3 linked regions of the Diceros bicornis minor genome follow. The protein of the gene in region 3 interacts with the protein of the main gene of each other region in a pairwise test. Links are inferred from orthologs where the notes say so. Each region holds a gene or a part of one and is shown on either strand. Other genes may lie near its edges.

Region 1 (3,748 bases), on a different chromosome or scaffold from region 3:
TATATATTATAGTATACATAATATACAGACCCTTTCTTTCTCTCAAGGTAAGTTGCTTATCATATGCTATAGGCTAGGAGGCCAGATGATGAGGTTAGGGTGAGGTATAAAATATCAGGACACACAAGGGCCCCAGTGGGTCTTATGGATACAATGGATGAATCCAGAGAAAAGAGCTTATGGACTCTATTTCAGCTGATCAATGATCTTTTTACATCAAAACTGAGACTGCTAAGTAAAATGACATCTGGGCAAGTAGAGTTTTACTCTTTTTTTCTTCCTGGGTCACAGTGCAAACAAGCAAATTGTTCCAGTTTACAAATAAATTGTACCAAGTTTAGACTAACCCATTATTAGTAATCTGCACTAAATCATAAGAAACGACAAAATCATGTGCACTATACTATCCAATGATATTTTGCCATTCTGTTCCCTAGGCTTGTCTCAAGAAGTTTGCCCTGGGTATGTGACTTTATCAACGTATGTATTATATGTATATATTTAAATGCAAAGGGTGAGGCATTTACTTCAACTATTTGATATATGTATATGGCCTAAGACTGACATGTGAAATATATTAGACTACTCTGTTCTGCAGTTTTGTTTTGGATTTTTCTGAGTAGCTGGGGTGGGAGGAGTAATAAATAAGGATATGAGTCACTAAAATGTAGCCCCAAAATGTCATATACATATTAAGCTTAACACCAAAATCGTTCATTTGTTAACTATAAGCAATTATGAAAACAAGGTTGGAGAAGTAAAAGCTATCAGATTCACAGATCTTAGAGCAGCAGCAGAGGCCAGGAAAAAATTCACTTTATCCTACTTTGAAATTTAATGAAAGAAATAACACACAAAATTTTAGTTTAGCTATTAAAGTGCATATTCAGTGAGTTAAGGGGGGGTCATGGAGAGAGAGCCTCCTCTTTGATCTCATCTGTTGCATTAAAAATCCACCACTGGTAATGAATTTTTGAGCACTCCCTGATTTAGTACACGTGACTTGGCCCTGGCTCTTTCAGAATGAGCAGACTCCAACTGACTTATAATGTGATTGTGTCTACAGTACACTTACAACCATCTTTCAGTAAATGTCTTTCAAGTTAGAGCTATAGGTAGAATTAGGTGGGAAAAAGAAAAACTAAATCAAAATTATTAGCAATTATTAACTAATAATAAGAACCAGACAAAAACATTAATGTGTAATTAAACAGTAATTAGAATAATCTGCTAAAACTTTGAACTAAGATATTACTACATTTTTAATGCTTGAAACTATAGAAAAAATATACTCAATTTAACAGAAAATAAACATTTTAAGCCATTTAAACTACCATCATATTTCCGAAAAGCATACTCTAGAAAAGAGTTTCTATCAGGATAGACCTTATCTGCATTAACTTTAAATTATCTAATACTTGAGTCACACCCTGAAAAAACTTCTCTTTTGTTTCCAGGAATGCTTTTTTCTTTTTTTTTTTTTTTTGAGGGGGGTAAGGCAGCTAGATTAAAACAAAAAGCTGCATTCTTTAATGTGAACGGCATATTTGTACTCTTATATGCTAATACTCTCTCAATCCCACTGAGCTGCTATGGTGTCTTCAAATAATTTGATAATCCGCTTTTAAAGTTTCGTCTTAATTGGAGAGTTCATTTTCGTAAAACGCCTTGGCACCATTCAATCTTTTGAGATGAGAAAGGTCTCTTTCCTCTCGACTTGACATTTTTACGGCATACGTGTGAGCAATTTTTGCTGTCAAATATTGCAAAGGTAGGTTTTTTCGTTGTTCAGTCTGAAAATGTCTCCACTACACTTGCACAGCTCCCTTCCTCCCAACACAAACCTACCCTCCCCACTCCCCCTTGCAAGTTTTAAACTTTGTCTCCTTTGGGGTTCTGCACAAGCGCTACTAATAATATCCAAGAGACAAAGAACTGTGCTGTGGGTTCACGGGATGCCAAATTTGAGTTGTGAAACAAAGCACTCAAATTTGAGATTCAAGATGATGAGGATGGCGATGCTGGCAAAAAATTTATTACAAAGCATAAGACCCCGGAGCCACCTCCCTACACAGCTCCCCCTGCCCACGGCCACGCCGGAGCCCGGGGGAGGGAGTCCCGGCCCCGGGACGGCGGCCGCCGACCGCACCGCGGAGCCCCCTGCCTGCACCCCGGCCCTCTCACCGCTTCACTCGGATGATCTGGTCCCGCATGGGCTTGATGTCCTGGAAGCTCTGCTGGTTGACGAGGCTGTAGACGAGGATGAAGCCCTGGCCGTTCTTGATGTACAGGTCCCGCATGGACGCGAACTGCTCGGTGCCCGCCGTGTCCAGGATCTCCAGCACCGACGGCGACGAGTCCACCTCGATCTCCTTGCGGTAGAAGTCCTCGATGGTGGGGTCATATTTCTCGATGAAGGTGCCGGTCACGAACTGCACGGTCAGGGCGGATTTGCCGACCCCGCCCGAGCCGAGCACCACCACTTTGTACTCGCGCATCGTCCCTCCGCGGCCGCCGCCGCCGCCGCCGCCCGCGACATAGACCTACGCCCGCCGCGCTGCGCCCCCGGACCCTGCGCCGGCGGCCGGCCCCGCCGCCTCCCGCGGCCGCCCCCACCTCACGGCCGCCGCAGCCCCCCGGGCGCCGGCGGAGGGAGCAGCGGCCCTGGGCATGGGCCGAGCCGGGCGGCAATGCGGCCCCGCGGGCGCCGGCAGGCTCTGAGGACGAGCAGGAAGCGGGAGCCGCCGGAGCCGCCCGAGCCGCGGGCCCGCAGTGCCGCCCGCCCGCCCCGCCCCTCGCGCCTCCACGCCCAGCTCCCCGCCCGCCGCTTCCCCCGGCGCCGGAGCGCGCGCCCGAGCCCGAGTCGCGGTGCTGCCGGGGGCGGGGCCCGGCGGCCCGGGGCGGGGCCTGGCGGCGCAGCCCCGCCCCCACCCCCGTCGCCTAGCGACCAGCCGCGCGCGCTCCCGGGAGGCTCAGCGCCGCGCGGAAGCCTCTGCCCGCGCTTAGATAAACAACCGCCTCGGACGCCCAACACCCCACCCCGCACGCCCCGTCGAACCCCAGGCCTGCGTACTGAGCATGCGCAGTTTGTCCGCCTGAGCCGGGAACCGCGTCAACTCGAGAATCCCACGCTCAGAATTTGGCGGAGACAAGGTGTTAGGCGGGCCAGAGCAATCTCCAGGCTTTAACCTGAAGAGGGGAGTGAGAAGAAGACATGGGCAAGGTCGAAAAGGAGGCGTTGGCGTGAGGGCCTTGGCCGACACCACTGTCGGCCAGCATTCCTGTCTGTCAGCATTCCTGAGAAGCTTTGGTTTCATGTTGTGTAAACATAACGAGAGGAAGCTTTGTTTAAGGGGACGCGCATAAACACCACGAGATGAGGCTTTGTTTTAAGCATCAGGTCTGAGGGAGAGGTGACAGGCCCCTCACAGCCCACTGCCCGAGGCGGCGAAGGCCGGGGACCGCGGAAGCCGGGCCCCGCCCACCTCCCCCGGCCCCGCCCTTCAGTGCCCGACTTCTGTCGAGCGCTTCCCACGCCCTGTCAGCTCCGGGCGCTTGGAAAACCGGGAGAGCGGAGCCCCGAGCCGCCGCCAGAAGGCCCAGGGACACCTCATAGCAACAGCCAGCTGGGATACCTAGTAGGACGCTGGGATTCATTCCAGCCAACCAGACCCCGTCTCTGGACCCCATGGTAGTGTTCTCGGCCAATAGGGAGCAGCTTCATACCACGTGACGCCCATCCATCGGC
Region 2 (2,598 bases), on a different chromosome or scaffold from region 3:
GAGGAGGGGCGGGCGCACGGAGAGCAGCTGCACCGCCCTCCGCTCGGCCCATCACCCAATCCCAGCGGAGGCGACTTTTCAGGCGCGCCGCCGCCCAAACGGACGAGAGCCGGCGGCGGCCAATGGGCGAGCCCCGGGGCGGGGAGTGCGCGGGGCCGGGGGGCCGGGGGACCGGGGGGCCGGGGGGCCGAGCCCGCGGGTGGGCGTGCGCGGCCGCCGCCGCCTCCTTCCACCCCAGCCCGGCCCGGCGCCCGAGCAGCCCTGGCCGCCGCCCCTCGGCGTTGGGGGGGTGGCCGGGCTCGGGCTGCAGCCCCACCGGGGGAGGCGGTGGGACCCGCCAGGTGGCCGCCCGCAGAGGCCCTAGTGCCGAGGGGCGGCCCCTTCCCCGTCGGGACAGCTCTCGGGTCTTTGTGCGGGGTGACGAGGCCGCGTAGGTGCCCGTGGCGGTCGGTGTGAAGGGCGGCGCCGTCCGCCGGGAGATGCTCGCCGCCCCCGCGCTCCGCGCCCCCAACGCCCGCCGGCTCTCCGGGCCGTGACGCACCCCGCCGGGGGCCCGGGGTGGAGTCCTCGGGCTCCTGATACCGGAGGCGGAGGCACAGCCCGCGGCCCCGGGCGGGACCCTCAGGCACGCCCCGCAGAGCGCGGAGAGGGCGCCCACGTGCTCCCACCGGAGCCTGCCTAGCGCTCCGCCGCCTCCCAGCCCCGCGCTGCTCTGGTCGGGTTCTAGACCCGCGCCCTCCGGCACCCGCCCGCGCGCTCCGCCGCCCCGCCCCGGCCCCGCCCCGGCCGGCCCCCAGTCCCGCCCCCGGAAAGCCAGGGGCGGCGGGCGGCGGGCGGCGGCGCACTGGGCATGCTCGCGGGCCGGGCGGGCGGGGCGAGGCGGGGCGGGGAGGGCCGGCCGCGCGCGGCGGGCAGGAAGCCCTGGGCCGCGGAGGCTGCGGGAGAGAGCGCGATGGGCCGCGGCGGCGGGCGCACGCTCCGCGGGGACTCATGCCACGCGCGTCCCGGCCCGGCGCGCCGCTAGCAGCCGCCTCCGCAGCCAGCCGCCGCCGCCTGCCGGCCCTCCCGGGCTGCCGCGGCCGGGAGCTGCCGCCGTCGCCTCGCGCGGGCTGCCGGCATTGTCCTCCCGGTCAGCCGCGGGCTGCTGCGGGGCCCCGGACCCGCGCCCCAGGGACGCGCCGCCGCCGTGCCCGGCCCGGCCCCCGCGCGGCGATCTCGGCGCCCCGCGCGCCCCGGCCGCCCTCGCCGAGCTGCTTCCTGCGGAGCGGAGGCAGGGGAGAAGTGCGGCCGCCTAGCCCGGCCCTTCCCGGCGCGCAGCCCCGACGGGGCCGCGGCACGACGGAGCCATGAGAGAGTACAAAGTGGTGGTGCTGGGCTCGGGCGGCGTGGGCAAGTCCGCGCTCACCGTGCAGTTCGTGACGGGCTCCTTCATCGAGAAGTACGACCCCACCATCGAGGACTTCTACCGCAAGGAGATCGAGGTGGACTCGTCGCCGTCGGTGCTGGAGATCCTGGACACGGCGGGCACGGAGCAGTTCGCGTCCATGCGGGACCTGTACATCAAGAACGGCCAGGGCTTCATCCTCGTCTACAGCCTCGTCAACCAGCAGAGCTTCCAGGACATCAAGCCCATGCGGGACCAGATCATCCGCGTGAAGCGGTACGAGCGCGTGCCCATGATCCTGGTGGGCAACAAGGTGGACCTGGAGGGCGAGCGCGAGGTCTCGTTCGGCGAGGGCAAGGCCCTGGCCGAGGAGTGGAGCTGCCCCTTCATGGAGACGTCGGCCAAAAACAAAGCCTCGGTGGATGAGCTGTTCGCCGAGATCGTGCGGCAGATGAACTACGCGGCGCAGCCCAACGGCGACGAGGGCTGCTGCTCGGCCTGCGTGATCCTCTGAGGCCGCGCGCCCCGCGCACAAAGCCGAGCGCACGGCGCGCTCGGCGGGATGCCCTTCTCGCTCGGAGGTTGGAGACGACTCGGCAGCGGCCGGGGTGGCCTCCGCCCCGCGTCCGAGGGGCTGTCCCGCCCTGACCCTCCGCGACCCGGTGGGAACGTGGCGCTGTGCAGCATGTACGTTTCTCATTGATTTTGGTTGACGCATATTTCCCCGTTGAAGCAGTCGTTGGGGCGCTGTATTGGCAGCTTGACACCGGCAAGCGAAAGTTTCAGCCAGGAAAAAATGCGGTGGGGAAGGAAGAGGACGGGAGAAGGTGGAGGGGACCTTGTGTGTGTGTGCGTGTGCGTGTCAACAACCGTTTTCTAGTTCCAAGTTTTCAGTACACGGAAGAAGTCCGGGAGAACCAAATGAAGGAGCAGGAGGAGAGGAGGAAACTTGTTTTTTCATTGTTTTCCAGGAGTAGCTGGAAATTAAGATCGGGTTCCTTTTCTGCCAGTTTGGAAGGGCAACCCCGTGACTGATTGCGATTCCGAGGATGTCTATGCAAAGTTGGGTTCTTGTTACAGTGTATCCAATCTGAAGTATTGCACATCTGAACTGGGACTGTTAACACTGATGCCAATACAGTGTGGGGTGCCAGAAAGTGTCTGCTGATATTTGCGGGAAAAAAAAAATCTATTTTGTTTACCTACTGTATCAA
Region 3 (3,748 bases):
CACTCTGCAGGATCCAGCCCTTGAGCACTGGCCTCTGAGGCTCTCAGGCCAATGCCACAGCTGAGCCCACGGAGCTCCCTCCCTTTCCTTTGGGCTTAGAGTTGGTCTGGCCTGAGATCAGATCTAGATCAGTGTTGGGGTTACCCTAGGGGGAGGCAGCCTGGTGGACTCAAATCCTGTTTCCTTGTGATACCTGTGTGGCCTTGAACAAGTCATTTAATCTCTCTGAGGCCCATTTCCCAGGTGCAAACAGGAATAATAGTATCTGCCTCATTAAATTTTGGTTCAGATCCCAGGAAGGACTGGGAGAAGGTGAGTGTGTACAGGTCATTGGGCAGCGGTGGTGAGGAGCTGGGCATTAATGGGAAGGTCAGCCCTGCCAGAAGGAGCCTGTGTTTAGGGCATTATCTGGGCTTCAGTATGAAGCCTGCCCCCCACCCCCATGATTTCTTCTGGTCATCTGGGTCAGACCTCAGTGGGGGCCTGGGGCTGGTATCAAGATTGCAGCCGTCTGCCATCTGTCCTCAGGGATGCTGCAGAGCTGGTCATCGCCCCTGGGAGCCCCATGGCGTGCTCCCTGTTAGGAGGTACAGTGGCTGCTGCAGGTTACCATGGAGACAGGGAGGCGAGGGCCCCGTGGAGCCCTCAGCCTGCTAAAGGGAACTGTTCTGGGAGCTGGAGGCAAACCACGTGACAGTGACGAGGCGCAGGGGCCTGAGGGGTTTCTGAGCCATTGCCACACCTCCTTCCCCCCGCCAAAGCTCTTATCCTCACACCCCAGTTCTAAGCTCACTTCCAATCCACCAGAACCTCTGCTTCTCCAGCCTAGACCAAGAAGAGATCCCCCTTCCCCACACACTCAAGAGGCCCAGCTGTCCTGGGAGGCAAGAGAAAGAAGCGGAACCTAGGAGGTCAAGAGAGAGGAGAAGGACAGGAAGGGTGTCATCAGGATGGGGCTATTTTCATGTACCAGGCACTGGGCTAGGCTCCTAGGTGGATTATGTCATTACCATTCCTTGGTGTGGCTGTTACATACCCCATCTACAATGGGGATAATAGGGCACCCAAGGCCCAGAGTGGTTAGGAGACTTCCCCAAGGTTGCACAGCTAATAACTAATGAAGTAAGAGTTTGAACCTAGGACCATCTGGCCCCAAAGGCAGAAACCTTTGTTTTATACCACACTGGCAGTGTTTGAGGGGGTGAGGGTGGAGGGAGTGGCCTGCACTTTGGGCTGGGCCATTGCTGTATTCATGTCTTCTATAACATTCCAGGCATTTTACAGAGATCTGATGTGCTCAGCACTGTGCTGGGCAGTAGGGATATAATGGTGTGCGACAGACGCAGTATGGTTGGGTGTGTGCCCAGGAACCTGGGAGGAGCTAGAGGAGCCAGGAGCCAGGGCATCAGGTGGGCACTGATTCCTGGGGGAAGGAGCAGGGCCAGGGCCTGTGTGCAGGCAGGTGGGGCTGGCAAGGGAAGACAGCTGAGCCCTGCACTGGGAACACCCTGCCCTCAGAGGTGGCATGGGGGGTGGGGAGGTTGCAGGTGGAGAAGGCAGCTGGCATGGGGATCCTAGAGGGAGAGATGAGTGCAGGTGGGGGCTGAAGGAGAGTGTCTGAGCCACTGGCCATTCCTGGCTTAGGGCAGGGCAGAGAGGGTGAGTCACTGCAGGGCTAAAGTGGGAAAGTTCACTTCCTGGGCCCCAAGAAAAGTGGGTGAATCTTCCCAACACTGCGACAGCCCCACCCTCAGGGACCAATGGCCCTGCCCTCCCAGTCTCCTCCCCTTGAGCCCAGGAGACCCAGGCTTCTGTGATCAGGCCCTCAGTCCTTCCCACGGCAGGGAAGCGCCCCTCACCCTTCACTGGATGGATTAAAGGGCTTTGTCCACATGCCCCAGTTGACTCTGCCACAGGCTGCATGCCCAGAGATGGAGGAGGACACCATCTCTGCTCCAGTATTTGAGCGTCGGAAAATCTCCCAGGAAAGCCCCACCCCGGAGAGGCCAGGCTGACAGGACTGGGAGTGAGGGTATGCTTGGAGGGCGTTCATCTCCTTACTCCATCAGTTCTCTCCTGCCCACTCTGCCTCTGCCCACCCCGCCCCCAGCAAGGGAGCCAGCCATCGCCGCCCCTTCCCCCTCACGCACAATGTCACTTCCTGGTTCTCACAGGAAGCTGCAGTGCCAATTAAACACCCCTCACCCCCCAGGCCCCAGGCTGGGCATAGGCCTGGCTTGGCCTAGAAGGATAGAGACCAGACCTCCAAACCCCCTCCCTGTCTGGGCCTGAGAGGGACAGTGGACGTGCTCCTCTTAACCCTGTGCTTCCTCCCTTGTCTCCGCGGTTGCTGTGCATCCTCCCTCAGTCCAGGTTTCCGCAGCCCTCCCCGACGCCTCTCCGACCGCCCCACCCCCGCCCGCCAGCGGCGCCCACCTGCACACGGTGATCAGGTTCCGACGCTCCACGGCCACATTGCGGGAAGACGCTTTCTTGGAGGACAGCCCCAGAGCCATGGTGGTCTGGACAAAGCTCGCTTCCATTCAGATGTGCGGCCACTGCTGCCTCCGCCAGCTGCCCCCCACCACGCCCGGCGCCCCGGCCCCCCGCCGGATCACGGCTGAGCCCTCTGACCGCCGGGGTCCCTCGATCCCTCCACGGCCATCCCCCTGCCCCTGCGCCCGATGCCCGGCCCCCTGGCTCCCTCCCCCGGCGGCGGTACCTGAGCAAAACAAGGCCGGGGAGGGAGCTCTCCGAGGTGCTGAGCCGGGGCCCGTCGCCCCCCTCCCCCAGCCGCCCGCCCCCCTCGACCCGTGACGTCGGGGCCCTCGGGCCCCGCCCCCAGGCAGGCCGGGGACCAATCCGCAGAGGGGGCAGGATTTAGGGGGGAGGGGAGCGGACCGGGGCCCCAGGGAGGGCGGAGGGGGTCCCTGGAAGAGGCAGCGATTGGAAGGAGGGAGAGGGCATCTGGTCTGTCCACCCCACACTCAAGGCCCGGACCCCTCGCCTCGCGTCTCTGAGCTCTGACGCCTCTCCTCCCTTGTTTCTGACCTGTGATCGGTGGTGTCTCTCAGATTTCTCCCCCTGCTGCCTGGGGAATGGGGTCCTCACCTCCAATACCCTCATTCCAGCCCCGCCCCCCACCCATTTTATGGCCAGGACGCGAGGCCAAGGCCAGGTGTGCATCCGGAGAGCACAGGTGGCCTTACGCTGCTGACCTAGGAGGCCAAAGAGCAGTCAGAGACACTGCGTATTTGTCTGCACCAGCCGGCGAGTCAACGCCTCCTGGGGTGGGGGATGGGAATCTAGGATAAGCCGGAGGAGCCCAGCCCCTGGAACCACTCAGGACAGTGAGTGGAGAAGAGACTGGCAGCTCAGGGCCTGGGCGCTGTGGTGGTTCCCAGCAGTAGAGCTGGTGCCCACGAAACTGGAAGGGATGGAGCCGAGGCACTGCTTCCCCTCAGTCCTACCTCACTGCCCACGGGCAGCCGCCTAAGGGTTAACCCCTTGGCTGCCAGCATTGCTGCATAGTGCCATCAACCCTCTGCAGGGCCAGGAGGGCCCTGCAAAGTTGGTTACATCTTTTACAGGAAGTTGGGGAAATGGAGGCACAGTCTGGCTTTTCGGCTGCCTTTTGCCTCCCAGTTGCTCTCTCACATTCCAGCTCCCACCTGCTCCGTTCTTCTGTTCAACCTGTTCTCTTTCACCCACTGAAATCCCCAGCTCCTACAGAAAGCCTTTCTGTGTT

What was found.
Region 1: the proteins of RUNDC3A (region 3) and RAP2A interact in binary tests that used the Homo sapiens proteins (3 or more experiments, as listed by UniProt). The link is inferred for Diceros bicornis minor from reciprocal best matches to the Homo sapiens genes RUNDC3A and RAP2A.
Region 2: the proteins of RUNDC3A (region 3) and RAP2B interact in binary tests that used the Homo sapiens proteins (3 or more experiments, as listed by UniProt). The two-hybrid records come from large-scale screens. The link is inferred for Diceros bicornis minor from reciprocal best matches to the Homo sapiens genes RUNDC3A and RAP2B.

What each region holds. Positions count from the first base shown.
Region 1 is NC_080748.1:73,734,824-73,738,571, reverse strand, and holds the start of RAP2A (ras-related protein Rap-2a), read right to left. Parts: upstream 2,732-3,748; 5' UTR 2,499-2,731; coding exon 2,185-2,498; intron 1-2,184. UniProt on the Homo sapiens protein: Small GTP-binding protein which cycles between a GDP-bound inactive and a GTP-bound active form. In its active form interacts with and regulates several effectors including MAP4K4, MINK1 and TNIK.
Region 2 is NC_080741.1:2,231,123-2,233,720, reverse strand, and holds RAP2B (ras-related protein Rap-2b), read left to right. Parts: upstream 1-1,271; 5' UTR 1,272-1,346; coding exon 1,347-1,898; 3' UTR 1,899-1,986; downstream 1,987-2,598. UniProt on the Homo sapiens protein: Small GTP-binding protein which cycles between a GDP-bound inactive and a GTP-bound active form. Involved in EGFR and CHRM3 signaling pathways through stimulation of PLCE1.
Region 3 is NC_080757.1:42,891,980-42,895,727, reverse strand, and holds the start of RUNDC3A (RUN domain-containing protein 3A), read right to left. Parts: upstream 2,595-3,748; 5' UTR 2,544-2,594; coding exon 2,437-2,543; intron 1-2,436. UniProt on the Homo sapiens protein: May act as an effector of RAP2A in neuronal cells.